Schizosaccharomyces pombe: one gene and its partner. The protein of the gene in region 1 interacts with the protein of each later gene in a biochemical or structural test. Each region holds a gene or a part of one and is shown on either strand. Other genes may lie near its edges.

Region 1 (16,248 bases):
ACCCTTTGACTCTTGAGCAAGTTCAAGATATTATGCGTCAAATATTCAAAGGCCTCAATCATATTCATACAAATGGTTTTTTCCACAGAGACATGAAACCAGAAAATATTTTAATTTCTTCAAATAGTGACTCTTCTTCTTTCAATGTTAAGATTGCAGATTTTGGTCTTGCTCGTGAAATTAATTCGCGGCCTCCATATACCGAATACGTATCCACTCGTTGGTATCGTGCACCTGAACTATTATTACGGGACTCTTATTATTCGTTTCCGGTCGACATATATGCTGCTGGATGCATGGCATTTGAAATTGCTACACTTCAACCAATTTTTCCTGGAAATGATGATTTCGACCAATTATATAAAATGTGTGAAATACTTGGAAGCCCTGATGAGCAATCTCAGAATACTGGAGATAAGGGAGGTGGTATCTGGGATCGAGCTGAACTATTAGCTAATAAGCTAGGTATTTCTCTACCCAAAATGGCTCCGCTCGACTTTGGAGACTTATTTTCCCCACCATGGAATTTAGCTTTTGCTTCAATGTTGTCCCAATTGTTAAAGTGGGATCCAGCCAAACGACCTACTGCAGAAATGTGCCTTGATTTAGAATTTTGTCGAGTTTCCGCACCGGCTGATGCAGTTGCCAGTAAAGAGGAAGTCAATAAAAACACTGATTTTCGTGTTTCAATATCATATTTCCCTTCGTCTAGTTCCATTCCAGATGAATGTAACACTGAGGAAGAATCTAGGATCAATCCTTCAACTTCAAAGTTTCTTAAACAGCTGAATAAAGGTTTCAATGGGTTTACTAAACCGTTTCGTAAGTCAAGAAAACAATCAAAGAACCGTAAAAATAAGTCTTCAGTGGCTACTCAGTTTTCTGAAGAGTCAGAAGATATTGCTGATAGTATCACCTCTTCAACATTTTTTCCCGTTTTACCCCAAATACGCCCATCTACTCCTTTGAATCTCAAGTTACGAAACTTCATTATTTCATCTTCTGAAGATTCTACTTCCCCCAAAGCGAAGGAATTTGACCGTCCTTTGCCTTCAACCGAATTTCTTGTTGCTATAAATAAAAGTCAAGAAGCTTTGTTGAATAACTCTCCTAACTCCAAGTCTGGTAGTACGCAACTTTCTGCTTCTACGTGTTTAAGTGATTTAATTTCCCCTCAGCTATCGATTCTATCTCACGAAGATAAGCGCGAAAATCAATCTGTAAACAGTGAATCCTCTAAATACAGTCCCCGGTCATCTAATCATTCACCGACACTTCACAGCAAAGATTTGCACCGTGATATGGCTACTGTGAACAATTATGCCAAGTCTCCACCTTCTTTCCATGCTACGCAGGACCTTCTTCGTAAAACATTAGCCTATACAAATTCAAGTGGTACATCAACAGTCTTATCTAATGACTCTTCAGCTATTTCCTCAACGTTTTTGGACAGAGATTTTCCAGATTTTGGTATCACATCGTTAGCTGGTAGTCTAACACTTCCCGACTCGAAAATTATCGATCGCTCTAAAACACACGTTTCGACACAATTGCTTCCCTAGCTCATAACACTTTTACTTTTGATTATTCCACTAATCTTTTCTTTTCCTTTTATTTCTCCATGTTTTGCCGACCTTTCTTTCTTTTTATTTCCCCTTAATTCCTTGGTCTCTTCCCTGAATTACGCTCTTTTGTCAACTACTTTATTTATTTCACTTCCAAATTTACTATTTTGAGAAGCAAATTTTACATGTTTTTTGTTTTAGCATCACCTTTTCTTTTCTTATTTTTTTTTCTTTTTCGTTTATTTTGTTTATCTTTCTTTCCGGAATTTTGTTCGCCTTAATTTAGCATTTTTTGTAGTCTAGGTAACGCTAAATGATGACATTACCTTACATATTTTTAAATACATGTATATAACTGCAATGATGAAAGCTGCTTTTGATTTTCTATTTAAGTGATAATCGTAAAATTGTAGTAGTTGTTTTTTACTTAATTTTTTATATTTGCAACACAGTAGCACAGAGATGCAATACCAAAGCTATTTGTAAGGGGAGAAAGAAAAGAATAAACACTCGATACTATGTTTATTTTTATGAATATAAAATGGTAGTTTTTACTTGAAGAAATAACTGCTAAATGTACTGTGTGCTTTTATCTCTTACATATACACATGTAAGCTAGTAAATATACAATTCGCTTGTTTGAGTAGGTTAATTTATATGACGCAATATTCCCGAGTAGCTGGATACCACGTCTCAGAGAAGCATTTCGTCAATAACCAAGAATTACCACATGTAATTATTGAGGAAACCGTGAGGCGTTTATCTTACTTTTTCCAATTACGAATTGCCCGAGATAACTTTTTATAAGAAAAGCGAGGTTTCATAATAACTACTTGCAAAGACCAAGCAAGCGTACGATTTCATGAATTTTAAGTAGTTGACAACTACTGCTTTTTGAGTTACATTTTCCCAGGAAGTTCATTATTAAATAACTGTTATTTCTTTTCTTTATATCAAGTTGTACATTTGGCAGATTTTTTTTGCCTTATTTAACGATTTCTCAGGAATATACTATTAACGAACAATTTTTGTAAACCAGGAATTATAAAAAGTTTACAATGAGTGAAAACGTTTACCTTAACGAAGCGCTGAATGTAGTAGATCAATGCTTTAAAACTTTTTTTGATAAGTACACTGATAGAATGGGTAGCGCCTTTGCCTGTTCAGGCACTATTGACAAAGATCATATCTTTCTTGTTTGGTCCGTGGCTGTATATGCAGAAGCAATGGCAGACAGTTTAAGATACACCAGCAAGTTTGAGCGGAAATTCGAACATGTGTTCCAAGCTTTGAAGAAATATTGGTCCCCCGTTTTTAATGCCTGTTGTGCTTTTCACTATTTTGAAGGAAATGACGACGTATATTATGATGACAATGCACAGGTAGCTATTGGCTTGGCTACGGCTGGCTATTATACTACAAACAGTTCACGTCGCGATCATTATGTTAGTCGAGCAGAAAGTATAATTTCGCTTATTATCAACAAAGGTTGGAATCAGCAACGTGGAGGTATTGCTTGGCATACCCGTACTACTGGTCCACCATGGACTAATCTAAATGCCTGCTCTACTTCTATGTCTGCAGTTGCTGCTTTGCGACTTGCTCTGGCGTTGGACGATCCTAACAAAAAGCAACATCTTGTTTCGTTTGCTTGGAATTGTGTTCGATGGATTCAGGAAAACTTGCTTGATGAAAATCATATTGTTTGTGACGGTCTTAGTTTGAAAGACGGAAAATGGGTCTTAGATAAGGCACGCTTTACTTATAACACTGGTACCACTATGACAGCCATGTCTTTATTGATGGGTCTAGGTGAATTCACTAAAGGATTGCAAGATATTGAAAAGCTTCCGACGTACTTAGAGGATATGGCTAGAGGTGCTTTGGACACCAATGGCCCATTGTATGATCAATCATGTAATGGAAGCTTTAAAGTATGGTCTGATAATACCTTTTTTGCTCAGCATCTTTCCGAAGGTTTAATGACATTTTCTTATGCAATGCCATCATCTGCGTTGGCAAAACCTGCTCAAAAAATGGTTTTAGATCAAGCCGACTTTCTCATGAAATATTTACGTATTCCAAAGGAAGGTCTATATTATCGCAACTTTGGTCTTTACAAGTTGAGTCCCGAATTGACAGCCTCGTTCAATAAGTTTTTCAATGCAAACAAGCAATTTCAACCAGATAAAGATGAACGCATTCAACAAGAAGGACCAGTGGAACAAAGACCTTTGTGTCCTACACTGATTGGAAGTGCTGGTGCTGCTAGAATGCTGTTTTCTGCTGCAGAAATTGTTAACCGAAATAACCCGAGTTCAGGTGAGTCGACAACTCTTCCTCAACCTAGCCATGGTAAAAAAGATAAAGATTGTGTGATCTCTTGAGCAACCGTTCAAATTGCTTATAATATTTTATCAGGTAAATTATTCCCCTTTAACGCGTCTTTTATTTATGTTGAATAAATGAATTTCAAATGAATTGCTTTAAAATTTTGCATAGTTATTAAGAATAAGCAGTATAACACGACTTTCTAATTAAAACCCTTGTTGTTTATATATTTTAATGAGAATTTATGTCTATAACAAACATCATTGCCACTTTTTTTTACCTAAATAAGCGAGTTTACATGATTAGTCTACTAATCTCTTTATACTTTTCACTGACGTTCTTGTTCAATAGAAGATAAAAAAAATCATTATCTATTTACTATAACTGTAACGTATTCCACGTTTAATTCAGCAAATAACCTGTGCTATGAAATCGAAGCCCATTAACAGAATTCGTTCTGATGACTGCAATGGTAACTTACAACATTTAAAAGCTTGTTTTGATATGATTGAAATATTAAAACTAATGGGAAGTGGAATCTGTAATATGTGCAATTCATTTCAGCCAGCAAAACGTATTAGCGCATACAGAAATCATGATTAAGCATAAAATAATAAAAAACAAATAGTTAGTATTATGAAATTTAAGTCCAACAGTTTTGAATGTTGCTTCTTTAGCAAAACAAACTTGACCAAATTTAACTTTTTTGTTCGATATTGAATAAAATCCGTGAGATCAAAAAATAAAGCCTTCTAGTAGAAAAAAAAAAAACCAAAAACTCGATATGCTCAGATGTTTTACAGATGTTGTCAATGAAAAGATAAATATGGAAACATCAAAAATGTTATGGACAAACGTAATCTAGCCAAGTAGGATGCATATTACCTAGCCAACTACCTTCGATATCCATGCCTTGATCGGTATTAGCCCAGTTTAACAAAGATGAATCGTTGGCAAGATCAGGCGTTGTCTTTATAGGATCCAAAGTGCTAGCAAACTTTTCTAGATCATCATCCAGTTTACTGTGGTCCAAAAGGAAAGATGTATCATCAGTTGGAAAGAACGAAACATCTGCACCTAAATTTGCATTGGGAGTCAAAGAATTACTATTTCTTCCCCCACCGATACTTTTATTGTAAGGACTCATAAGTTTTTCAGGTTCGTCTTTAGCAGAGACTTCCGCGATCCAGCGCTGCCACGCCATGAAACCAGATTGGCTAGTATTCCCATTACCGTCAGAGCGAGCTCCTTTGAGATGAGCATCAAAGAGTCGAATAACTCTAGCACAATTCTTGGCAGCTTCATTCCCTTCTGCCATATAGTCGAGAGCTGAGTAAGCATACTGCATTGCTATGTCATCTTCTTCACAAGGTTCGGTAACACAGTGAAGCAAAACCACCAGCGCACTTGAGAAGGTATAATTATAGTCAAAGAAAGAGTAACAAGAGAGTTGAGAATGATTCTGAAGTAAATGTACGAGTGAAATTAAGTGCCTGGCAGCTAAAATGCAGTCTTCATTGATACGATCGACACGCGGAGAATTTTTTGCATTTTTCATTTTATGTAGTAAAACAGGTCGAGACATGATGATAATAGCTTGGTCATATGTCATGTGTAAATGCACATTTGCACGAAAAAGTGGGTCTTCAGCATCAAGATTTTCCAAAATCTGAAATGGTGGTAAAGAACGCTTCCATTCTTCAAGATCGGCGCGAAGGGATTCAATTATGTTTATTGGATTCTTTTTATAATTGACAGTTCCATAAAGTTGTTCCATAGTTTTTCCCATTATTTTCGCAATTTTAGACATAGATATGATATTATGAACGTTGGAAGCAGAACCTTCTATTTCCAATTCAGGCACTACTGTTGGTAATGCCGCATCACATTCGCTGTCCGCAATAGAAAGTGGACGTCCTGTAGCAATACTGATTAAGCGATCCATGGTATAAACCGACCACCATAGGCGATTACGAAGTTCTTTGGTCTTGGGATCAATATTTGGATTTTCACAGCTACGATGCAACCCGTTTGCGACAGCAGCAGATAAAGAAAGTCCGAAGTAAGTATAGGAACTCTTTTGGGAAAGTGTAGACTGAAGATACAACCCCATAAGTATGGAAGCCTGAACCAAGCTTGGTTTGCATTGCTGAATTACTTGTGGTAACAAAAGCCTAGCAGTATCAAAAAACTGTTTTCCTGGGTTGTCAAAAGGATTGCTAGCAGAACGAATTTCCATGTGAGCAAACATACTACCAAGTGCAAAGATCATCATTAGCAAGCAAAGAAAGCCAGGGTCAACGGATGGATTTTGGAAGCTCATGATAAGGTTTAAACGATAACGAAGTAATGTTTCATGGAAAAAGAAAAAATTTGCTTGAACATGGCCATAGAAAGATTTGATAAGAAAATCTGAAACTTCAGGAGGAGGGAGAAGACTCAGCGCTTTTTGAACAGCATTTACATCATGTTCATTCGGAGGATAACTGTGATGGGTATGGGAATACGCGCTCAGCTCGGAAAAAGAAGGATCGACAAGTAGTTCACTTTGAACAGAGTCAACGAATGCTTCACCAGCAGAAGCTCCTATATAACGGGATTCGCCGTTAGAGTCAACTTTTATTTTTCCAATTAATTTCATGATTTCGTCAACGCTTTGATCGCTAGCATCAGCATTGATTCCATTGTTCGTATCCTCTGCTACGACCGTTGGATCTTGCTGAATTTGTGAACAAACAAGTGCACCTTGTGTAAGGGTATCCACGTCACGTTGACTATTGGTGCTTTCACTATTGAGGGAAAAGACATCTGAAGATAATAGTGATTTTTGGTTGCTTATACGATTGCAAACTTCAATCAATGAAGGTGTAGTATAAGTCGAAACTTTGGTGGAACAAAGACGTTCAACAATATATTCTAAACACTTGTATCTTTTTGAAAGATCAATAAAGTAGTCCTTAGAATAATCCATTTCTTTTTCATCCTTTACTGGATATGTGCATTCCAAATTATTGGAAGCACAAGCTTTGCATGGGTTTGCCCCGTCGCAACGAACTTTCCGGGCTTTGCAGTTAAAGCAGGCTAGAACCACCCTTCTTCGTCTCTCCATAGGAACACGACGTCTCCTATTATGCTGCTCCTGCTTCATGGCTTCGAACAGAACCGCCGTATTTTCAGGTGAAAATTCATGGCTCATTTTCCCCGTTTATGTTAGTAAAATACCAAGTTCATACCAATTTCCATAAATTTAAAATTCTTTTTCTATATTACAGAATTTCAATTCTGAAAAGAGAAAATGCTTAACTATGGCAATGACTTGGCAGAACTTGATTAGTAAATGCCTAAAAGAAAAAATTGTAGTACCCCAGCTCCTATGTTCTACTGGAGGGCGTAATTTAGTGTAGTGGTACGAACCTTTTTTATCAACGAAATCTAATATATACACATATTATTAGTATATGAGACCTTGTTTATACATAACTTTAAGAAAAAATCTAACCGATTTTAAATTTTTGAAAAATAAATACTGCTTGTATTGTACTTTGAAAATGGGAACTTCCGTCAATTTCTTTTCGTTGACGAGCTTATACGTTTATTGAAGCATGGCATGCAATCGATTTTTGTTAATAATTTTCCATTTTAGTATTTCTTCAATAAAATGAGTATTGTGTACATAGTAAACTAATTGCACACATATCGGTCGACACGCTATTTCATAAACGGAATGTAGTACGAAAATAATAGCTATTTTGATTAAAACCCTCTTGAGTTTCAATACAAATGTAAATGTTGCGTTATATGAACCCAAAGTTTAAAGTTCAAAGTCAAAGGCAGTAATGAATCATAGATTCAAATGAACTTGAGCTTACTCTTGCATTCCTGTTGACCTACCTAGTCAAATTTCCCATTATGTATAAAGGTTACGAATTTGTTACCTTCTAATCTGCTTAACCTTAAGACTAAAATAATTTATTCCTTATAAGAAACAACATTTAATGAAATGATTGCAAAGTAAAACACGTAGGATTTCCTTTGTCGTTCTACCAACACCTCCAAACCTTACAACGTATCGTTGTTTCTCATGTAAAGGGAAATTTTCCTATATCCTTTTTATGCTGTTATCAATTTAATATAAACTGTATCGCTGTTATTCTAGTAGGTCGCACTGTGCTGGATTTAACCTTCATTGAAATAAATGCTGTCTAGTCAACGTATGCGACTTCCAGCCTAGCTAACTGTGTCTAATACTTTTTAGATCGTCTAGTGACTCAACCTGCTATTCGTGCGTACGAAGCATTTTCTGCTCCAGGTTTCGGCTTTAATTCAAAATTATTGGATGATGCGTTTGGAGGAAGTGGTCTTAAAAGAGGGTATATTTCTGAAGTATGTGGAGCACCTGGGATGGGAAAAACAAGTTTGGCTTTACAGATTACTGCAAACGCTCTTCTTTCCGGTTCTCGTGTGATTTGGGTCGAAACTTGTCAACCAATTCCCATGGAGAGACTTCGTCAACTATTAGACAATCACGTCCCTTCTTCCCAAGATGAAGAGGAAAAATGCGATACTGATGAGTTATTAAATCTTCTCGATGTTGTATATGCACCCAATTTAGTGAATATTCTAGCTTTTTTACGAAATTTCGATCAAGAAAAACATCTTAAAGAAATTGGATTATTAATTATTGACAACCTATCAATGCCTATTCAACTTGCATATCCAACCAGTCCAGAAGATTATGCTTATCTACGTCTTCGTCGTAATACCAGCAAAAAAAGCTCCCTTTCAGATTCATCTCAAAAAGAAAACACTTTGACGTTAAACAAAGAAAATGAGTTCTCGAGTAAAGACGACTCGAATTTTGCATTTCATAACTCCTCTACCAAAACAACAATAAACCGCAGAAAAAAGGCAATCGGTACAATCAGTTCTTTGTTAAGCAAAATTACATCCTCTTGTTATGTGGCTATCTTTGTTACCACCCAGATGACTTCAAAAGTTGTTAGTGGGATAGGTGCTAAGTTGATACCGCTTCTCAGCACTAATTGGTTAGATAATCTATCTTATCGGCTCATTCTTTACAGTAGGCATTCAACTGAAGAATCAAAAGATGGACAGAGTCGTCCCTCTCATCAGCTTCTGCGCTATGCATTCATGGCAAAGCAGCCACCAGCTCATTCTGCAGAATCAGAGTTGGCTTTTCAGTTAACATCTACTGGTATTCAGGATTATCAAAGTATTCCTACCAATAGCTCACAACGACGTAAGAGATCCATTTTGGAATGTGAGTCCTAGGTAAAAATGGTGGCTTCAGTTACGAATTTTTTAGCATAGTGATGGTTGTTTTGCCCATATCTATTAATTTATTATACCTATTCATTACGTTGCATAAACAACTATGAATACTTGTCGAGTGTTGGTCAAAAGTTTCTCAATGATTTATTTGTGATCTCATATCTTTTCATAATGTATCATAAGCTATTTTGTTCGTTCATTTTTATGAAATTGCTAATTGTCATAGAGGAGGGAAATGATTAAGATATCTATATGTTTGCTGATTGACAAGTCCTTATTAATTTTCAATTGTTTAGGTGTCGCATTCAGTGTACGGACAATAATGACATTATGCTTTCGACATATAAATTCCATGTTGACATAGTGACGTCTCAAGCCTAGCTCAAATCTTTAAAACATGGGTTCAAGTCGCTAAAAATCTACCTGAACTTTACAGCTCTTTTGTTACTTTCGAAAGTGTAGTCTAATAAGTCCATTTTGAGCCTGACCTTATTTATACTTCGCTTTGTCTAGTGTGAGTTGGCGGATTAAGTATGTTTTAATGAACATTGTTTCAACCTACCTCTAATTAACATACTAACCTTTTTATTAGTATTTCCTTTCTCTTTTTATATATACATATTTTCAAAGTCTTAAATCGTTTATCAAGTAATTAGCAAGATGATGGGCACTCAACCATCTTACTCTATTCATACGCTTCGCGCGCCTCCTAAAGCGAAACAGAATCAAATTCCTCCCTCTACTACCCGTCGTGCAGTAAATGTTAATAAACTCGGCAGACAATTCCGTTATCCATCTGTGGGTATGTTTACTCCCGAAATGGCTAAACGCCTTGCAGCTCTCGTTAAGATGGAAAAGGATTTACTTCGATCTTATGAAAACGTTGCCATGGAGCGCAAAGAATGTGCCAATCAACTTTCGTATTGGGGTGAAGATTGCGATGATGATATTAGCGATATCAGTGATAAGCTTGGTGTACTTTTATATGAAATTGGCGAACTTGAGGAGCATATGGTAGACAGATACGATCAATATCGTGTTAGTCTGAAGACCATCCGTGATATTGAGGCTAGCGTTCAACCCACCCGTGTTAAGAAAGAAAAGCTACTTAACTCCATTTATGATGTTAGAAGCCGTGATCCTGAGTCCCCAAAGCTTATTACTATGGAACAGGAACTAGTTCGTGAGGAAGCTGCGTGTTTGGTTGCAGAAGCGCAGTTAACTAACATTACCCGCGAAAACTTTAAACGTGCTTTTACTCTTCATATTGGTACATTACTTGAGCATTCTGAAAAGGTTGCTATTCTTTGCGGGTATGCCAAGAAGATCCTCGATCTCCTGGACGATACTCCCATTGTTCCCGGTGAGCCTCGCCCTATTTACGATGGTTACAACATAACCCGTGACTATATTGTTGAGGCTGAACGTGAGTTGGCTAATTGGCAAAATCCTTTCCAAACTCCTGAACCCCTTACCGACATTGATGGTTTGCCTTCTCAAAGTCATTATCAAACACAATTTCAAGCTAGTGTCGTTCCTCGCACAGATGTAATCAATGAACCTCCACGCCGTTACTCTCATGCGAATGGTGTAACTACTTCCGGCACTACACACTCTTACACCTCTACAGGTAGTAAAAGATATTCTCAAATGGGTACAGAAGATTATCAACCTAGTTTTCAACCAAACATTCTTCAAAGCACCCAAGTTGTTGATAACTTTGAAATTGGCGAGGAGGATGATGAAGAAGTAGGATCTCAAGGCGTTGCTGAAACGTCTATGCCTAGCACTAGTGCACAACCTATTGCTGCTTAAGCAAGTCTTGGTGTGTATTCACGCGATTTCTGGTGATCCTTACGCATTCATCAATTGACGTGAATTTTTTGTCATGTCAATTCACATAATTTGCTAGCACGTGTTAAGCACTTGCTATTGCTACATATGCATGCTTATCGAACTAATACTCACGTTACTCTCATTACCATTGTTTTTGTGTCTATGTCGTTTAACCATATTTATTTTCCACCGAGTTTTATGTTTCGCAGATGTTGGTTTCTTAATTATCTTGTTTTTATTTAGTGTTTTTTTTTAATTCCTGCGGTCAAAATTAGGCTTAACAAGGTTGTTGGTTAAAGCAATTAATTAACAATGGAGATTATTTGTGTTGAAAAAGGATTTTATTAAATGTATGATTTTATAATTTTTACTTCTCAATCCGATTTAATAAAATATTTATGTAAAAATTGGCAGTTCGGTTGTATTAGTAAAAAGCAATACAACATAGATAGCAAATTCAACTGGGTCAGATCTTTAGTATATATTATTTAACAACGGTAAAAATATCAATAAAGCTTAATTAAAGCAAAACATATGCTTCCTTTCGAAGAGTTGGTTATCATATAACACCTAACTTTTATAGAAATTATGTATCAAAATATAAAGCGACATTGCCTATATGTTACTTGCAGTCAAAGAAGGCTCGTAAACTATTTTGATTATGCGATAGAGTATGGTATGTTTTCTGTGATATCTGAAAAACGCTACGATGAATTATTAATTATTTTTGCTACTCTCAAAATCAATAATATCATACAGTATTATGATTTTCGTTTGCCTATTCTTCGAATTATAGTTTGTAGTTCAGCCTTAATATAGGTAATTGGGGAGTATCAGCATCACCAGACGACCTATCTTGTAAAGCAAAGGTACAATGAATAGCGATACTTTACGTATCATTACATAGTGCAATGAGAATTGTTAATAATATCATACATTACACTGTCACTGAAAGTTCGTTTTGTAAAACGTGCTGCATAAACCTTCAGGTAACAATGAACTCGTTACTCAGGCGCTGCGTTGGAAATCAAGCCTTCAAAAATCGTTTCATGGACATTAAAGAGTTTGATTTGAATTTTTGTAAATATAGCATTCTCATTTTTTACTTTTGAGACCTAATTTGGAAAATACATTAGTCCGGGGTTCATTATAGCAGAAAAGCATCTACGCTTCTCAAATACAACAAAATAATGAATCAGGACGTTAGAGTATTTCCAGACAGCATTTATCTATCATGTTCCAAAAAAAAAGCTTCTCTTCGAATAGATAGAGTCGACGGATGCCTTAGTTTGAGCAATTCTCTTGATCTCAGCAAGACACCTGACTATAATAACGTTCAGTTATATGGATTTATTCGATTGAAAATATACAAATATGTAGTTCTTGTTACAAGTTGTGATTTGCATGCAGCAATTCTCGGAAACAATATTTATCGGGCAAGGAAATTTGCTATCTTCCCAATTACAAGGACTCTTCCATTCTCCACGGGTCTGCTAAATATTAAAGATGAGGAAGAACTACATTATATCAGTTTGCTCAATAAACATTTGTCAAAAGGCCAAATACTTTTTAGTCCAACGTTAGATCTAACCTGTTCCCTTCAAAGATTACGCGTACTAACCCAATCTTTTGAACTGACATCAAAATATAATTACCGCTTTTTTTGGAATAAATATGCATTTCATGAATTAATTGAATTGACGAATAAGGATTTAGGCTTTCAAGAATGGATTCAACCGATGATTCAGGGTAATATCGCCATTACTAACTCGTTTTTAAAGACTTATAACCTTAGACTGTGTGTTATTACACGACATTCTCCTGACTATGCGGGTACGCGGTATTTCACCAGAGGTGTAAACGCACAAGGAAGTGCTGCTAATTTTAATGAAATTGAACAAATAATAATGATCGAATCACCCATCACCCTTGAAGAACAAATGGTTCTTTCTTTTACTCAAATTCGAGGAAGTATCCCCATGTTCTGGGCCGAAGTTAATGATCTTCATTATCGACCTTTATTATCTTTACAACCTCTTGATTATAGCGAGACTGTGTTTGGGAAGCATTTTCAAGAACTTGCCAACGATTATGGGGACAATCTTGTGGTGGTCAATCTTCTAGACCAAAAAGGACGTGAAGCACCTCTACGGTCTGGGTTTGAAAAATTATGTAAACGAAATAAAAACCCTCCTTTGTCTTATGTTTACTACGATTATCATAAGCAAGGAAGTAGAAATCTCCCTTTGTTTCTTGCTGAAATTCAAAGTCTCTTGATAGAAGGAAAATATTATGCCGAGCATGGATCTAAAACTACTGCAATGCAAACCAACTTTGTAAGGACAAATTGTATGGATTGCTTAGATCGGACGAACGTCATTCAGACTAGCATTGCACAGTTTATTCTAAACATGCAATTACACGATATTGGTGTACTTTCTAGCTCTGAGAGTTTGGAAGAATATGATAGTTTTTTACAAGATTTTCGCTTAATATGGGCTAATACTGGAGATTATATCAGTGATCTCTACACTGGTACCCCGGCCTTAAAAGGCGATGTGACTCGCCATGGAACGAGAACCATTTTTGGAGCTTTCAAAGATTTATTAAACTGCTTTCGTAGATATATTCTTAACAATTTTTTTGACGGTATGCTGCAAGATAGCTATGATTTGGGTCTTGGAGTATTTCGTCCTTACGACTCACTTTCGATTCCGGACTTGCCTTTGCGTTTTCACTGGACTAGATTTGTGGCACCTGGAATTTTTTTGTTCACCACGATAATATTAACTATACAAGAATTATTTGGAAATCCAAGTCTGTTCTGTCGTCTGTTATATTCTATCCCTATGGTGAATGCTGGAATCTACCTATATTTTCATCGTAGACAATACGTTAATTGGCCTCGTCTAGTACTACCAACGTATGCTAAGGGAGGTTGGTTTTCGTTTCGTAATCATTTCCGAAATATTACTCTTAAAGTGTTTCGTTTTTTGCGTTCCGGCTCTTTCAAAAAAAGTGTCTAACTGTGCATTTCAATAACTAAAGAACAGTATTGCTATAACTCTTAATTAGCAGAAAACGCTCTTTGAACACTCGAAGTTCACTCTTTATTTCATTAGACTTCATAGATGTCAATCTTGCTACTGAACAAAGCGATGCTACCCAACTTTATCAAGTGACTAATTCAGATCATTTTACGTGATTGGTAATTGTAACTTTATTTTCTTTAATTGCTCCAAGCTTCCTACCAATATCAATTAGTAATTTAAGATTTTCATAATTGTTAGAGCCCTTAACAAACTATTGTAGTATGGATAACACACGAAAAAAATATAGCAGACAAAATTAATATTTCTAACTTTTATTAAGTCAGTGTTAAATATTGGGCAACTTTGACCATTGAATCACTGAGGCTTTTGACTCAAGTTTTACTCGGTTTTAAACAGTAAATGAAATATATGAAAAAGCCAAGCTTTCTTTCAATTTCATAAGTGTTGTTCATGTTCAATATTTAGGATACATACTTCTTCCAATTTAGGGGCATTCTGGTTTAATATTTTCAATGAACATGTTATAAAAATGAATTTTTTAAAAGATCATACAGTTCAGCAACGTTTTCTAATACTTCCAATCCAGAATCTTAATTCACAATTCACATTACTGAAAAAATGATGAAGTTATGCCTTACCCGACAGTTTTTGTATGAAAACTCCACAATATTACGAAAATGATTATATACACTTTTACAATCAGCTTAGCATAATTATGCTTATAGAAATGGAAATGCTCACACTTAATTTTGAATATTATTTTAATAGTGGATTTAACTACTCCTAGTACCAAGTCAAAGACTTGAGATCACTTAATGTAGCTTACGGAAGCGTAAACATCTCTCGCAATAATACTGCGTAACGAAGACCTGCAATTTAGTATATTAAGCTTGAACTTACACGTATACCCCTCTTGTTTATGTTAGCAGGAGTGCAATGTTCTGAACTTGTATATTTTAAGCCGTTCTGTTAAATATTATTAATTTAATCGTTTTTCTTTTTAAAAATTATAGCTTTTTAACGCATTGACGAGTTCACTACATACTCTAAGGATACTTAACATAAGTACGAGTACTGCAAACCGTCCATCAAGCTCTTCAAGGCGAATCATACATTTCGAGCGAAATACGACTCTTTAACATATATTCATTATTTAACATATTCACTTAATAATTCAACCCGATTCTGGCAGGATTAGCAACCTGGTCATATTCTTATGATTTATTCTTTAATATTTGTTTGCAACATAACCACACCCAAAATTTAAATTAAGAACTAACTTTTTTACATTAAGATCGAACATGAAAGACATTGAAGGACTTTTGGGCCTATGTGTTTGCTTTGTGGGGTTACCCGCATCTGGCAAGACATCTTCTGCAATGAAATTATCCAGATATTTGACATGGATGTCCGTTTCTACTCACCTTTATGATACGAAAGAAATTGATAATTCGTTGTCCGAAAATTCTAACAGTGATTCAGAGAATTTAGCTAAAACTCTTAGCCCCATATTCGATAATCTGGAGAGCGTTTTTAAAAAGGGTACTGATGTTGCGATTCTTGATTTTAACCAATGTACACTAAAGTTTCGGAAAAGTATAGTGGAGTTGGCAAAAGCGCGGAATATGCTCTTAATGTTTGTCGAGGTTGTCTGCACAAATCAAAAAATTATCGATGAAAACATTACTGATATGTGTCAGCATTCACCATATTTCAAAAGCTTTCCGTTCGAAGAATCGAAGAATAAAATCCTTGATAGTATTCATGAGTATGAGAAACACTACACACCTTTGTCCGAGGCTGAAGAATGTACTTTCGTTAGAATTGTGGACTTTGGAGCCGAACTGATAGTTCATAAACTTGAAAATTACCTTGAATCTAGGATTGTTTATTATCTCTCTAATTTGCGTACGCGTCGACGAAGTATTTGGCTAAGCCGACATGGTGAAAGTCAATTTAATGTTGAAGGAAAAATAGGTGGTGACTCAAGCTTAAGTCCTCAAGGACTAAAATATGCTGCTCTTCTTCCTGAATATGTTGCTAAGTTTTCGATAGGTGAAAAAGGACTTACGGTTTGGACATCTTCAATGGCTAGGACTATCCAAACTGCTCGACACCTTAATTGCCAAAAGCTCGAATGGAGAGCACTGGATGAATTAGATGCAGGAACG
Region 2 (15,256 bases), on another chromosome or scaffold:
ACGAAAGTTATAATTACAAACTGAGTAGGAAATTTCTTTTAACTTATTGTCAGTCGATTTGGTAGCGGTGCGGTATCATATGATTAAAGTCAATAAAATTGTTCACACGGGTTACATTTAATTGAAGATGGGAATATCAAATGGAGACCCTTAATTATGTTTGACAAGTTTGCTTTTTAATGCAGAAAAATCATGAAATTCTTTTGTGTTTAACTAGATGCTTGTATCTTTTTTCTGCCCTTTTAGCAAATCTTTTTAATTGGTTGGCTGTATTTCTGTAGTTCTCGCTCAACGAAAATAACTGAGATATCTGTGAAAAGTTACATTGTCGAATAATTTTAAAAATTGAGATCTATATTACTTTTATTTACTCAACTCGTACGTTTGCTTAGCTACCAATTATGTGGGTATATCCAAAACCTCCTTAGCTTTATTAATTTTTGCATTACATCCACGGATAACGAAATGTGATGCAGTACATTTTTTGATATATCACGGTATAACGATTATTTGAAAAAGCCAAATTGCGAAAGAAAAATTGCGTGTTAAATATACGATACGATTCATTTCAGTAAATTGCTTTGTGTGTGTAACAAATCTTTTTTTTTTCAATGTCACACTTGGCTTTCTGCCTTTTTCCAACATCTCATCCTCGATAGGTCCCTTCTTTTCCTTATCCATTAGTACGGTTGGTTTCCGTTATTTCCTGTTTATTTATTTATTGAAAAAATAAGAAAACCCCTTCAAAAAAATTTCGTGGATTTTTATCTTTGCTTATTTTGTTTTTACTTTTTCATTTTCATTCGATACTTTTAGAAGTCTAAGAAAAAATGCCACCTAAAAAGGCCGCAAAAGGAAAGGGTGATCCCGGCAAGGCTGCTAAAAAGGATCCTACAAAAAAAGCAGCTGACGCTACTTTTGGGTTGAAAAACAAAAATCGGTCTACCAAGGTTCAAGCAAAAATTCGTCAAATTGAGCAAAACGCGGCAGCTTCAGGCAGCAAAGATGCTAAACGTCAGGAAGCTCTTCGCAAACGTCGTGAAGAAGAAAAACGCGCGGCAGAAGCTGCTAAAGCAGAAGTGGCTGCTTTGTTCAATGCAATACCCAAGAAACAAACACCTCAGAATTTTCTTACTCGTAAAGAAGAAGTTAAAGAGTCACAAAAAATCGACCTTTACTCAGATGTTCGTGACCAGCAAACTGATTTGCCTCTTGAGAAACGTCCTTGGATTAATACGGACATCGTCTGTAAGTTCTTTCTGGAGGCGTGTGAAACTGGCAAATATGGATGGTTGTGGCAATGTCCGAATGGTAATATGACTTGTATTTACAAACATGCTCTTCCTTATGGCTACGTGCTTAGTCGCGACAAGAAAAAGGATGATACTAAAGAAGAAATTAGTCTTGAGGCCTTTATTGAGATTGAGCGCCATAGATTAGGGCCTAATCTTACCCCTGTAACTGAAGAAAACTTTAAAAAATGGAGTGATGGTCGGAGAGATCGTATTCTCAAACAAGCTGAAGAGCGCCGTAGTAACCGCGCTGTTGGTAGAAGTAACTTAAGTGGCCGTGAATACTTTGAGAGCAACAAAGACAAAACTCACGAAGTGGTTGGTGATGAGGAAGACTGGGACTTCTCTGCCCTTCGTCGTGAAACAGAAGCTTTGGCTAAAGCTCAGGATGCCACCGCTCCTATCGTTTCCGTTTAATGTCCTTGGGCTATTAATTATTTTTTTCAAATGTGGATTTTAGACAAGTGATAAATGATCTTTTCTTGTTTAAAATCTACTCCATTTTTTATGTCTTGTTAGCTTATACATTATTTTCATTATGTTTTACATCGGGTTTCTGAAGGTTTACTTTTCATATTGCCTATTTGTTTTGTTCGTTTGGCTTATTGGTTTCATTTTTGCCAGCTCTGAATGAAACATATATATATTTTTTTCGAACTGATGACTCACTTTTCGTCTTTTATATTTTATTTTGCAGTTTTGTAAACTTGTATTTGTGAACAGTTGTCGTGTAGCTAGTATACAATCCTCTAAACTTCCATTTTTTTCTTAGTATTGTCAGACATATCGTAGAGACATTTTGCAATATGGAATAGGTAAGTATTATAAGTGACGAATTCATCCGACCAGCCTGAGATGCGTATATGGGAATTTTTATACATGATTCCAAAACAATTTGATTATGCAGATTGCGCAGACAACTGAGAGAGTATCCTACTAGTTTACATATACGGCATACTGATTTTCACTTCTATTTAATTAACGACATAATAGTATGCAAAACTCCGCGTTATCTAGAAATTAACCAATTTTTCAAATATTCGTTAAAGAGTTACGATAGTAAACTTGCGTAGCTTTGTTGCGTTTCCTTAATGACAAGAAGCCTTCAGACTTTCGTAGAAAGAACAAGTGAAGTCAGGACGCAATGAAGGCTGAACGAAGGATGATTTCATTAAAAATACGATGTTAAAAAAACCTGAATTAAATACATAAATCTTTTCTTATAACTTTTCTGAAACAATCCACTTTATATATTTGGTAAAATTCGAGATTCGATTTTCCAGCATATATAAAAGCGAAACATCTTGAATTACAACTTCTCCCAACCACTTTTAGTCAACATGTCCAACTGCTTTTTTGACGTTATTGCCAACGGCCAACCTTTAGGACGTATCGTCTTCAAATTATTCGACGATGTCGTTCCCAAGACTGCTGCTAACTTCCGTGCTCTCTGCACCGGCGAGAAGGGCTATGGCTATGCTGGCTCCACCTTCCACCGTGTCATTCCCCAATTCATGCTCCAAGGTGGTGATTTCACTCGCGGTAACGGTACCGGTGGAAAGTCCATTTATGGCGAGAAATTTCCTGATGAAAACTTTGCCTTGAAGCATAACAAGCCTGGTTTGTTGTCTATGGCCAACGCTGGTCCTAACACCAACGGTTCTCAATTTTTCATTACCACCGTTGTCACTCCCTGGTTAGATGGCAAGCATGTCGTTTTCGGTGAGGTCACTGAGGGTATGGATGTTGTCAAGAAGGTTGAAAGCTTGGGTTCTAACTCTGGTGCTACTCGTGCTCGCATTGTCATTGACAAGTGTGGTACCGTCTAAGCTTGTGCTTTTTTAACTTACTCGTTGATGCATTTATGAAAAAGAACTATTGGTTCCTAGATAGTCATAGTTCATCTAACGACAATTTTTCCTATAAAGTTTGCGATAAATTTTTGTAAAGTATTCGAAAATGTAAAGAGAAAAACTTTAAATTAAGAGAAATCATTCAGCTGTTAAACGTATAAGTAATAATAAGATTTCAGTAACAAGGAAGCTGCGACGAAGTGTTTATAGCTATTGATCACGATCCATAGCATATAATCAAGAAAGTACGTATTACTGAGGTTAGACAAAAAGTAACTTAGTTAAAAAATCGACGACTTGGTTGGCCCATAATAACGCGCATAGTAGTAATTGTATTAACATTTAACTGTTTACTAGGATACTCTTATCAAAAGTAATCCTAACCTTAAACGAAAACCGGGAGTCTTTTTGATGTGAGGCATGTTTAATTATTTACATAGAAGTCCATAGTGCTAAGGAAGCTTAAGTTAGTCACCCTGGATTATATCGAATTACCTTAACGCAAGAATGTAACTCTGATTATGATATTCATTAGGGATAATATTTACGTTCAATCAAATTGATATTATGACAAGAGAGTAGCAACACGGCACTGAATGCTGCTCTGCAGCAATTGTCCAAACTTTACTTCAGCTTCAGCAAGTCGGGCACCCACTTCCATTTGATAATGCTTCCTTTTACGATTACATCCTTGCGAAAGTTTTTTGGTGTTTACTAACTCTTTTTCTAATAATTCTAGCTGAACTTCTAAAGCCTCCAACGAACTATCAAATGCTTTTTCTCCATGCTTTTCTAGCAAATAAAGGTTATCATTGCGAGATTTTTGATATTCCCATACAACAGCGGACTGCAACAGGCTTTCACGGGTTCCCGGTGGTTTTAGCTGTATGTAGCGTTGAACGTCGATGGCTGCAAGTTTTTCTCCCTTTCCAGCCGCAACAATGGCATTTTCCAGTCGATCTGATAAACGATGGGATTGAAATTTCTTTTTCTGTTCCTCTTGTTTAATTAGTAAACCTCCAGATCTCTTTAGCTCCTCCTCAACAATTTGAGCAGCTGCTGATCTATCTTCTTCGTTATAAGTAGATTCAAAGTCTAAATAATTTGATTAGAAGACATAAAAAAAAAACTTACAAGGTAATGAATCCAAAGATATATTATAACTCATTTTATGCAATCCAGAAAAAATCCGCCCTCTCCATTAGACGTTCGTGGTTGGTATTTGGTTAGTGCTCAGCACTTTGGAGATACCACATATTTTACAAAGACATAATTTATGATAAGCTACATACAATGAGATATAAGTTTAACAAAAAATCATTTTTATAATGTTTCAAGGAAGTATAATAGGATTCCAAGTAGGTTTACTCACGAATTCTTCATCCCAAGTATCCATGACATCCATATCTGATGGGTCAAGCATGAATTGCTCAGCCTTCACGTTCTCATGGATATGAACAAACGACGAAGCTTTGAATATTGGTGAAACCCCTTTCTGAAGGCAATAACGAAGAAGAATATTCGCCGGTGTTTTATTGTACTTTAAGGATAAATCTAAGAGTCGAATATCACTAAGACGATATCCTCTTGTTAGCGGTGAAAAAGCCTGTACTAAAATACCGTGATTAAAACAGTAAGAAAGAAAAGTAGGCCTGTTATTGAATGCAGAAAATTCGACCTGATTAATAGCTGGAAGGGGCAACCCAAGACTGATAATTTCTTCCAAATGATGAATATTATAGTTGGAAACTCCAATTTTGTTTATCCTTCCTTCTTTTTGATGCTGCAATAGTGCTCGCCAAGACTCAATACGGCGTACGGGCCACTTTGGTGAATGTATTAGCACGACGTCTAACTTTGGACGACCTGTTCTGCGAAGAGACTGTTCGACCGCTTTCCAGGTACGTTCAAATCCTTGTAAGGAGTCAGGAATCTTAGTTATTAAGGTGATATCTTCACGTTTAATATTCACATTTTGATGGCAGAAATCTTGAATGGCTTGTTCACATTCTTTTTCATTTCGATATGTAATTGCTGAATCAATTACGCGAATACCAAGCGAGAGTGCCTCAATTACTTGCTGGTAGCAATCCTTAAGTTGATATACACCAAAGCAAAGTTGTTCCTTTTCAAAATTGGTTTGAGAAGGAGAAAATGGTTTCATTAACGTAAGTTGAGGTAGATGAGAGAGCTCAATGTATAGACAAAAATATTTTCTAAATCCCTAAACCTTTAAGTAGGAGATTAAAGGAAATTTTTTATATATTTAGGATAATTGTAAAGAATTATTCAATGGTTATATAGCTAGGCCAGACAAGTTCATCCTCAATAATACGTTTAACTTTTTCCGATACAAATTTCTCGACTTTAGCAACATTTTTTAGCAGCTGTTTATTAGATTCTCCAATAATACTTTCCACTGTTAAATCTCGAATAACACTTGATGCATGCTCTCCAGTTCCGTGCAGCAATGTATCAACGAAGCATAGATGCGTCCGCTTTCCCATTTTAGCCAAAACAGCAATGGCATCGATGGAAATCCTAATAAATGAAAGTTTGAATGGAAGAACTGCAAATTCAGAGTTCGGGTAATTCATCGATAGAACCGCTTCCAGGCTTAGATTTGCGTCTCCGTCATAAGATACGTGTGCAGTAACTTGGAAATCGTTAGAACGATCTCTTTCTTGATGATTATCCATTGGAGTACTTGGGCGACTTTCAGGAATTGGGCTTGTGAGTCCACTTGCAGATAGAATCCCGGGTGAATTAAATGCGGGATTAAAATATGCTAGTCTTGAAAATGGATGTTCAGCAGCGTAAGGTGGAAGATCCGTAAGCACTGGTGAAACATTATTGCGGGAGCATTGATCACCCTCTAGTTCTTGGTTAGCTAATTCGAAAGCTTCATTTTCATAAAATTGGGGATCAGGATCGCCGATTTCTTGAATAGTAATCTGAGGTGAGACTTTGCCGAAATGGAAGTCAACAACCTTTAAATGCTTTATATAAGATGGTAGCGACAAATTCGAAACTTGTCCTTCGAGAAGATGTAAAACTTTTGCTTCTAATTCTGAGTCTAACTTTGACCAATCAAAGTCAATAGACATTGTTCTGCAATTGTAAAAAAAAAATACGAACTCTTGAATCTCTCAATGACGATTGTAGCAAGTTTTCAAAATTTAAGTAATTTCTTCGTCAACTTGGTTAATGAAATAATATTTAAACCGGTTCTCTAAATTTTATACGAAGACGGCATGAATTTGATACTTTAAACAAAATCCTCCAGCAATTTTAATGTCCTTTCCTTCAATGTTCTTTTTTACTCATCGAGAATTGCAAGTGAATTTTTAAGATATCTATTTATCTTAAATATTACCTTCTGTAGGTACCAAAATCTTTTCTCCTAGTATTGTCAGTAGAGTTAGGTGGTATTCCCAGATTACCTTCTAACAAAGCCTACGCGGTTTAAAAAAGGTTAAAAAACAAATTTGTAAATTAATAAACCTTTTAGTTTATTACTATCGTAATTTGTATAAACATTTAATTTTTTGGAACCACCAGTCATGTGCTTCAGTCTTCTTCTACCTAAGTTCTTGTTGCTTGCTGTTATTTTCACCTTCTGCTAGTAAAACGTTTTCAACGTTTATCTGGAATTTGTGGTATTTCTTCATTTCTATAACAATTAATATTCAATTCATTTAATTATTTGAAGTTAGAGTTTAAACATTCAACTATTACACTCAACGCGTTTGTTGACAAAAGTTACGCGCTTCATTGCATCTTTGTTATAATTTAACATTCACTCTTTCATCTTCGAATTAGTACTTTAAAACGATTTAACTGAAAATGTCGCAAACAATTAACTCTGAACTCAATGAAAATGCTACTTCACAGTGTAAAGAAGATTTGAAAGTTTCCCTAAGCGAAAGTGATTTACGTGACTCACAGGGTCAGTTAGGAATAGAAAACCCTCCTAAATGCAATAACAGTGGCAATCACTCAGATAACCTAGGTTTTATCGAGCAGTCAGAAACAGTACATCCAGAGAATGAGAAGGCTTTGACGCCGGACCTGCGAGATACAAAAATACATACTTCTTTACCAATTACTACACCTTTTTCAAAGAAAAGGGCTCGAGAAGCCAAAAATATACTTCTTAAGCCGTTCAAAAGCCCCTTAAGACAAACTGCCAGTCCTCAAGTTGCAGACACTAATCTAAAACCATCGTTAGCTGTAACAAATCTTAACTCTGATGAAACAAACACTTCTTCAGAACCTGTTACTTCTCCCTTAAGAACAACGCCTAATTCAATAAAACGGCAAAAACGACTTTTCAAGTCACCTATCTCTAATTGCCTTAATCCAAAGTCCGACCCTGAAATCACACAGTTGCTTTCTCGTCGTTTAAAACTTGAAAAAGAAGTCAGAAATTTACAAGAGCAGCTCATAACCGCCGAAACTGCACGAAAGGTTGAAGCCAAAAATGAAGATAAAGACTTGCAAACGTTGATACAGAAATGGAAAAATGCTGCTCAGCAAGCCGCTGAAGTACTTTTTAAACCAATGGCTGAACGTATTCGTTTGGCTGGAGGTGTTACTCAGTCCTTTCGTATTGAAGAAGGTGAAAATAAAGGGCAAATTCAGGAAGTACGAACTGAATTTACAATGAGTATGTTTCTAAATCAGTTTGGTGTTCCTGTTCATTTGATGTCTTTTGATGAAGAAAATGGTGATTGGAAATCGTAAAGGACTCCTTACTATTGTTAAAAAAATTTTCGTTCGTACTAGTTAGAAAACCTTTAGTACGAACTTAAATATGTTTAGCTAGCTTACACCAAAATCAAGGGTATACTAATTGAACGTACAGAGGTACCTTAATCGTTTACATACAAATTGCGCCGAGCTGGTATCGAAATTCTTTACATGTAACAATGAATCGTTCCAGGCTGAGTTTATGACTTTAATTTATATAATTATTAGCATTATACAATAACATGTCTCATTAATTTGAAATTTCTTGATTTTGAACCTTCTGGTTCTAAATTTTTTCTGGAGATATTTAACATTCAAACAACAAAAGTCGATTAATTGGCTGACAGACAACAAATATAGATCAACCAATTGAAAGATGAAAAACAAAATTTATTCAAAGCATGATTTAATCACCGACGAACCCTAACATACATATATTTTTTATTCTGCATCCATCGAGCAACAAAATTTTAAATTAGAACGCAAAAAAATCGAAGATACAATTTTTATTAAGCGCGGTTTTGTCTACGGATGATTCGCTCACGTCGTTCTTGAAGTCGATGCTGTTGATGGCGTCTCATTAAAACCAGTCCGACAACTACCACAATAAGCGTGACACACGCAGTCTCCAAAAACCTTCCATCAATGTAATCATAAGTGAAACGAATATCATTATAGGATTCACCCATCTCTTCAGTATTAGGCGAGGGCAAGGACTCAGACGTTTCTTGAGGGTCAGGTTGTTGTGGTGTACGATCTACTTGTAGTGTTGGTGGTTCTGGGGGAAGTTGTGAGTCCGGACCTGCCGGGCTTAGTATGTCAAAAATATTTATAATAAAATATTGCACAAGCTTCAAAAATTTGTAAGTGACTTTTCCAAGTATGCGATAAATATTAGAAAACCAACTGTCGGGAGAAGAAAGCCTCATTCTTAAACGTGCCAAGGTCACAGCCAAAAATGCTCGTGTATCGTGCATTAAAGCATTATCATAGTTTTTCTTTGCCATTTCAAAATCCACTGGGACACCTACTCCATATTCATGCATCCATCCTAGACGCCAATAAGCCAATGCAGAAGGATGAATGGCAGCCGCCTGAGAGTAATAAGAAAAAGCCAATTCAGGTTTTGCTGAGGTACCCAAACCCATTCTGTAAAAATCTCCAATTTTTATAAGCGAGTGGATGTGATTTCTCGCTGCCGCACGAGAGTAATAGTTCATCGCAATCCGTGCGTTACGATGAGTTTGTTCATTTGTCGGAAAAATGACGGTTTTTAAGTAAGAAGTAGATGGATCTCGATCTTTTGCTGCCAAAATTTGCGACATTAAATTACCGAGCTCGGCGGAAAGGCGATGAGCAAAGTGTCTAGTTAGTGGATCAAAAGAGATGGTCTTAACGTCGAACAATTCCAACACTCGAGAAATAAAGTTTTCATAGTAGGCTATTGACAATTGATTATTGGAACCATAATATATATCAGCAATATGCAATACAGATTCAAGATGCCCATTAGATACAGCTCTTATCAGATGTACTGTAGCCTCATCTATTTGACCATTCGCTAACGACACTTTTCCAGCTACAGCAAAAGCAAGAGGATCATTGCTAGCCAATGCATTCTCTAAAAGTTTTGTGATTGACTCAGTGTTTTCAGCCACAGGATATCCCATAAAGTACATGTAGGCAATCGCAGCCTTAGAGGAAGAATGATTTAAGGATACACCATATTCAAACCACGCATACGCAAGAGATGGATCTGGTTTGCCAAGTTCACCATGTAGAGCCATACAGCCTAACCTGAAAGCTGCAATTGATAAACTGTTAGCAGTTTCTTTCGTGGTTGGCGCATGTCTTGGATTGTTGTGAATACTCTTTATAGCTTCAGAAGGAGAATCTGGAATTCCAGAATTTACTAAACGAATAGCTGCAAGATAATGTTTGACTGCTAATTTTATATCCTTCAACTTACCAGGAGTTCCGTACTGGTAAATCGTAGCAAGGCTTATATGGGCCGATATATTATTTCCACGTAAAGCGTAGTCCTTTAAGTATTCAACGATGTCATCTTTTTTCTGAACACTATAGCTTGAAGTACGTGATAAATCATATAGGTCAACCGGATATTCTGCTGCTATATCAGGAGCAAAATGAGACAAGGGTTGAACTAAGCATGATATTTGATGAGCTACTTGTTTATAAAGCTCAACCCCCTTATCCACAGACATCGGTGTAGAAAGTCCATTAAGGTGCTTATATGCAAGGGCAAGTAAAGCATACGTATAATTTTGGGTGGCCGATAGTTCAAGGAATATTCGAGACAACGGTTCGTTTCGAGGAAACGATAAACCTAAGCGTTCGTCAGGCCCCATGGCGTACAGCATGGCAATTAAAAATTGTGATTCCGGATCTCCTTTTTCAGCTTCTTCATATACGTATCCGGGATCTTTAACGAGTTTCGGAAATGTTAAAGTAACTAAATCAGGAAGCGTTTTAATAGACGCTGATACATTAAACCTCGACCCTTCAGGATACGAAGCCACGAGAATTGGCTTCTTATCAATGTTGTCATAAGAAAATTCACCACCAATTACCGTAAACACGCATCTTTTAAAAATAAAGAACAGACATATAAGGAAGTTAAGCAACTGCATCAAGAATATTACTGAAAGTGTGCCTCTTGTCCGTCCTCCCTCCTAAAAAGAACCGTTCAATTTCCAAAGTGGTGAGTTTATATATCATCGGTGACTCTGTTACCTGAATGGAGGGCTTAAAGAAATAGCGCTGGAAGCTGAATAAGTGCAAAGTTGTTTGAATAACAATAAGCTTGTAAATAGAAGACTGTAAATACATTTACATGGTGTCAGAAATATTCATCCTTCCAATTGTTGTCTGTTGTCTTTTAACCTAAATTTCCAAAATTATCATTTTTTTCTAGCAAAGTTAAAAGAAAATACCTTTTCGGTACTCGTATCTTTATCATAACCTCAAATAAATCATTCAGGATCGCTTTCTCGATAATGATAATACACACCATATTGTAATATAATTTATAATATTACCAGGCGAAGAGTAATAATCGCAAATAGTAATGATATTTCGTGATATCGTCTTATTGTCGTAAAACTCGTATCAAATACCGAATATACAGGTTATTTAAATCTTTCATTCTCAAGCCGATTTTATTTGAGCTAAATATTATGTTAGTATTGTTGCTTTACCAAGCACCTTTACTTAAAACAAATCATTTTACTTTAAATTTACAAAATGAAATTAGTTATAGAAAATAAGCTAAATTATCACGTTAGTTTTATGAAAACTTGTGCAGTTAAAAGATATCACTTAATATTGCCAATTTCGGTATTCACAAACTTGAAAAGTCTACAGTAAAAAATTGAATTTTCCACTTTACTAGACATTTAACAGCAACGCAGAGTGATTGATAGCGGCGCATTGTTACTAGAAGTAAGACATGTACTTGATTTTTTATTTACTCGCCTATAATTGTTGTAGTATATTTCTTCGCGTTAGAGAATGTATCGCTTCCTTGTATCTCCTTATTTGAGGCGGCGGTCCACCTACCGCTATTTCTAAGTATCCTTTTACGAACTACGCATCCAACTGCACCACAATGTCCAATTCGATCGTCGTAAGTTAGTATTGTTTTAAGTGTTATTCTAATGTTTTTATCAAGGGTGAGGTCTATCACCACGTGATATTAGACGTGATTGCTAATTCACGGAGCGATTTTGAAGAAAATGGTGTTGATGATGCAACTTTACGAGAATTACAAAATGTACGGTTTTATGAAGTTTAGGTCTTTTTCTAATAAAACAGTTATGGCAAAGCAAGTTAGTTGCTACCGATGTTGCAACTTTTCCTTGGGCACAAGCTCCTGTTGGCACATTTCCCATTGGTCAATTGTTTGATCCAGTTAGCGGCTTGAGGACAGATTCATTAGATGTTACTGCTCCAGCTGTTGCAAACTCTCCCATACTTAATAATATAGCCGCTATTCGTGCTGTTCAGCAGATGGATACATTTGCGCAGCAACATGGTAATTCAAATTATTATTCTCCACCTACTCCCTCTCTCCCCCAGTCAGCAACAAATATTTCGTTTGACAGCTCTGCAATACCTAACGTACAGTCCAACCCTAATAATACTGCCCCCTTCCCTTCTTACAGCTCTAACTCATTGCAACTGCCCACTAATCAAACTGCTGACTCACCGATTATCAACGACCATTCGACTGCAAATGTAACTTCTACGGGCCAAGAACATGCTCCCGACTCTTCATCTACTAACTCATTTGGCGGATTGTTACTTCCCAATCAAAACTCTCCGAAAAAGTCTGAATTAGGAGAGACAGAGTCTTCTAATACCACCCCTGCTAATTCTCGTAATGACGTGCCTCAAACCGATGGTGCTATTCATGATCTAGATGATGCTGGGAGCCCTTCTAATTTTGAAAGTAATAGATTTGCTATTGCACAGAAAGCTGATGCTGAAATTTATGAAGTTTTGAAAAAGAATCGCATTTTGCAAATTGACGGCACTATAGAAGATAACGAAGATGAAAAAAAGCCACCTGTTGATACGCCTTCTGACGAAGCAATTAACTCAGATTTAGACGATCCTGATTCAGATGAGGCTCCCGAAACTGAAGAAGGTTCTGATATTGGACAGGCTATCGTTCTTTGTCTTTATGACAAAGTGAACCACCACAAAAATAAATGGAAATGTGTGTTCAGAGATGGCGTAGTTGGCGTTAATGGAAAAGATTACTTATTTTTCAAGGCGAATGGTGAGTTTGAATGGATTTAAAATTTTACTTTAGGTGTTTTGCTTCAAAAAGTGATGGACGTATTTTATCTATCAATCATTCTTCTTTTTGGCCTTTTTGTTTTCTTCATGAATCATGTTTATAAGTGCATTTAAGTAATCTTCCTATCATATTTTAGTGAGCACATCAATCTATTCTACGGTTAAAAGTATTATTATTATTTCATGCAAATTTTATTCACTAAAGCAAGCAATTAAATTAGATCACAATGATAGAATTACAGTATATACACTTTCAAATTTTAAACGCTTCATACAGATGTACTGTAATTAGATGTAGTGTGGTCCGATAAATCATTAAAAATAGAAGTTGGCGAACCAAGGTGTTGCGTAAGCTTATCCTGAAATAAAGGTTGAAGCTTTTCTAACCACATTGAGCGCTTGTCCATCAATGATTTGATGACAGGAAAAGAGCCGCTCGTAGCTGAAGAGCCAATTTTATCAGTAACAATACGTTTCTTTTTAACCTTCAAACTTCTGTTACGTTTGACATACGCTTGTTCGATTTGTTTATCTAGATCATCCATCACATTTTGGAATTCTTGAAATGCCATTTCCTCAGGAAGCATCTGTAACAGCGCATTCCTCATTTTTTCGTTTTCATCAGAAACTACCTTCAAACGAGCATTCAAACTCCTTAAGGTAGCTGAAATTTCATCATCCTGTCGCTTTGACCAATCTACATCGCCATCATAAAGTATACCTAGTTGTTTTAGGGTGTAACGAAGGCGGTCCTCACAAATTGAAAGACTCGACTCTTGTATATCCGGTTGTTCTGTATATTCATTATTTCCTGACTCGATTCCATCAATGCTTGTACCAATTTTGCTTTTCTCGGATCCAGAATCGGTTTCCGCAAATTCGCCAACAGCAATAGAAGGTTTTTGCTCCTCATCATTCTGCGTGTAGCAAGGAATTAATGAAGCCATTAGTCGTTCAGTGAGTGGACCACACCTAACTTCCTCAGAGACGGTATCTGCCTCATTAAAAGCTTCAAGGGATCCTTGAGCAGAGGTTTGCAGGTTTTGGTAAATTGAGTTAGCACACAGGTTGGTCATTTCATCTTCCGGAGTTAAATCGTAATAGCGTTCCCCCAAAGGAGGAATATTATAGGAAGACGAAACGTCAAATCCTTTTTTTAAAAAAGCAATATCATCATCATTGAAAGCACGAAAATATGGGTCAAGTGACGAATAAAAGGTTGATATTGAAATCTGGTTATTTGGCTTGTTGTGAGAAAAATCATCAGTCGCCGGAGTTCCTGCCACCAACGATCGTACATCACTGGTTGGAAAGGAATCTACACATAAAAGCTTCTTTTTTTGTTCATAAGAGAAGGAATCGTCAACAATGAAAGATAGTAATGAACCGGTTAGAAGATCGTTTGCGTTTTTATATACCAACCCAGTTGTCTGTTCATCTTTACCCTTAACCGGTAAATCTAATTCATTCTCAATTGTTTCCACATTTTCGGGACTGATTTCTTCATTATGGGCCTCTGAAACTTTGGGCTTCTTGGAAACTTTTTCTAGCATAGACTCTTGTGGACTTTCGGAAAGAGAACGCTTTTGCTTTATTTCTTGTTCAACGTTGTCTTCTTTAAATTCTTCTACTTTTTCTTCCACTTTATTAACCGACGATTCGTCTTTTGAGGTTTCTATTTCAGAATCGACATGAGACTCTAACTCTTCTTTGCGCTGGCGAAAATATTCTACACAAGACGGTTCACACTCAATCATTTTTTGCAGCTCAAACAGAAGCCGCCATAATGTCGACACAGACGGTACAACACCAGGAGTTGACGTTTCACTCAGACGGGAAAAGGTCTCGTATTGATTTTCAATTTTAAAACATTGAGGAATCACCGCGGGTTTCGAATCAGCTTCATTTTGTTGTTCGGAGGACATCCCAAAAAAATTTAAATCGTGAACAATACAACATTTACATATGTCTCTCTCCCCCGAAAAAATTCATTACTGAGGTGGTGATTTTTTATACCGGATTTCGATGATGGCGTACTTTTAGCGAAGTCTAGTATACCACTTGTTACATTGTTATAACGGTGCTCAGAAATATTAATCAAGAACAGCGTTGAATTGCTACGAATATGATATCTCAAACCAAATTAAACAGCAATATATTTTATTCATAGTGAATCCATCGCAAAAGCAATATGCTTTGCGAAGTATTTTGAACACTATAAGTGATCTTTGGTTTGTTTAAAATTAAATTTATCTTAAATTTAATAGTTTCTAAACCAATTGGTCTAGCGCAAGAACTAGATAAACAGAGTTGCAGCTTCACAAGATATCATGAAATAGATCTACGAGTCAATGGAATAGGATTTGTTTATACTTAATTAAGAGGTAAATATTTACAAGAAAATGTTTTATCATTTTTTTTTTTTAAATTTTGGATGTTTTTATTGCTATTCTTTCCATTTATGGGACATTATTTGACTGTAAGTCTCAGCAAATTTAGTGGATTGAGATTAGAAAAAGAAAAAAAAAAAAAAAA

The links.
Region 2: the proteins of rad55 (region 1) and sfr1 form a complex in vitro, tested with the Schizosaccharomyces pombe proteins (one study listed by BioGRID).

What each region holds. Positions count from the first base shown.
Region 1 is NC_003424.3:2,059,608-2,075,855, reverse strand, and holds rad55 (DNA recombination mediator, RecA family ATPase Rad55/Rhp55), read left to right. Parts: upstream 1-7,941; 5' UTR 7,942-8,091; coding exon 8,092-8,107; intron 8,108-8,151; coding exon 8,152-9,188; 3' UTR 9,189-9,414; downstream 9,415-16,248. Other genes in the region: serine/threonine protein kinase Pit1, read left to right, coding at 1-1,562; mug191 (alpha-1,6-mannanase), read left to right, coding at 2,624-3,952; SPOM_SPAC3C7.04 (transcription factor), read right to left, coding at 4,741-7,092; eisosome BAR domain-containing protein Pil2, read left to right, coding at 9,852-11,003; sac12 (inositol polyphosphate phosphatase), read left to right, coding at 12,215-14,050; fpb26 (fructose-2,6-bisphosphate 2-phosphatase), read left to right, coding at 15,379-16,248. UniProt on the Schizosaccharomyces pombe protein: Required for radiation resistance and meiotic viability and acts in recombination and recombinational DNA repair pathways.
Region 2 is NC_003423.3:1,573,697-1,588,952, forward strand, and holds sfr1 (DNA recombination mediator Sfr1), read left to right. Parts: upstream 1-6,759; 5' UTR 6,760-6,991; coding exon 6,992-7,891; 3' UTR 7,892-8,184; downstream 8,185-15,256. Other genes in the region: translation machinery associated protein Mep33, read left to right, coding at 831-1,709; ppi1 (cyclophilin family peptidyl-prolyl cis-trans isomerase Cyp2), read left to right, coding at 2,633-3,121; Prp19 complex subunit Cwf7, read right to left, coding at 3,711-4,240, 4,280-4,313; SPOM_SPBC28F2.05C (xylose and arabinose reductase), read right to left, coding at 4,479-5,309; ERMES complex subunit, membrane tether and lipid transfer protein Mdm12, read right to left, coding at 5,431-6,252; hrd3 (HRD ubiquitin ligase complex subunit), read right to left, coding at 8,407-10,548; transcription factor TFIIA complex large subunit Toa1, read left to right, coding at 11,526-11,543, 11,589-11,690, 11,732-12,721; ngg1 (SAGA complex subunit Ngg1/Ada3), read right to left, coding at 12,991-14,646. UniProt on the Schizosaccharomyces pombe protein: Involved in DNA recombination repair and meiotic chromosome segregation.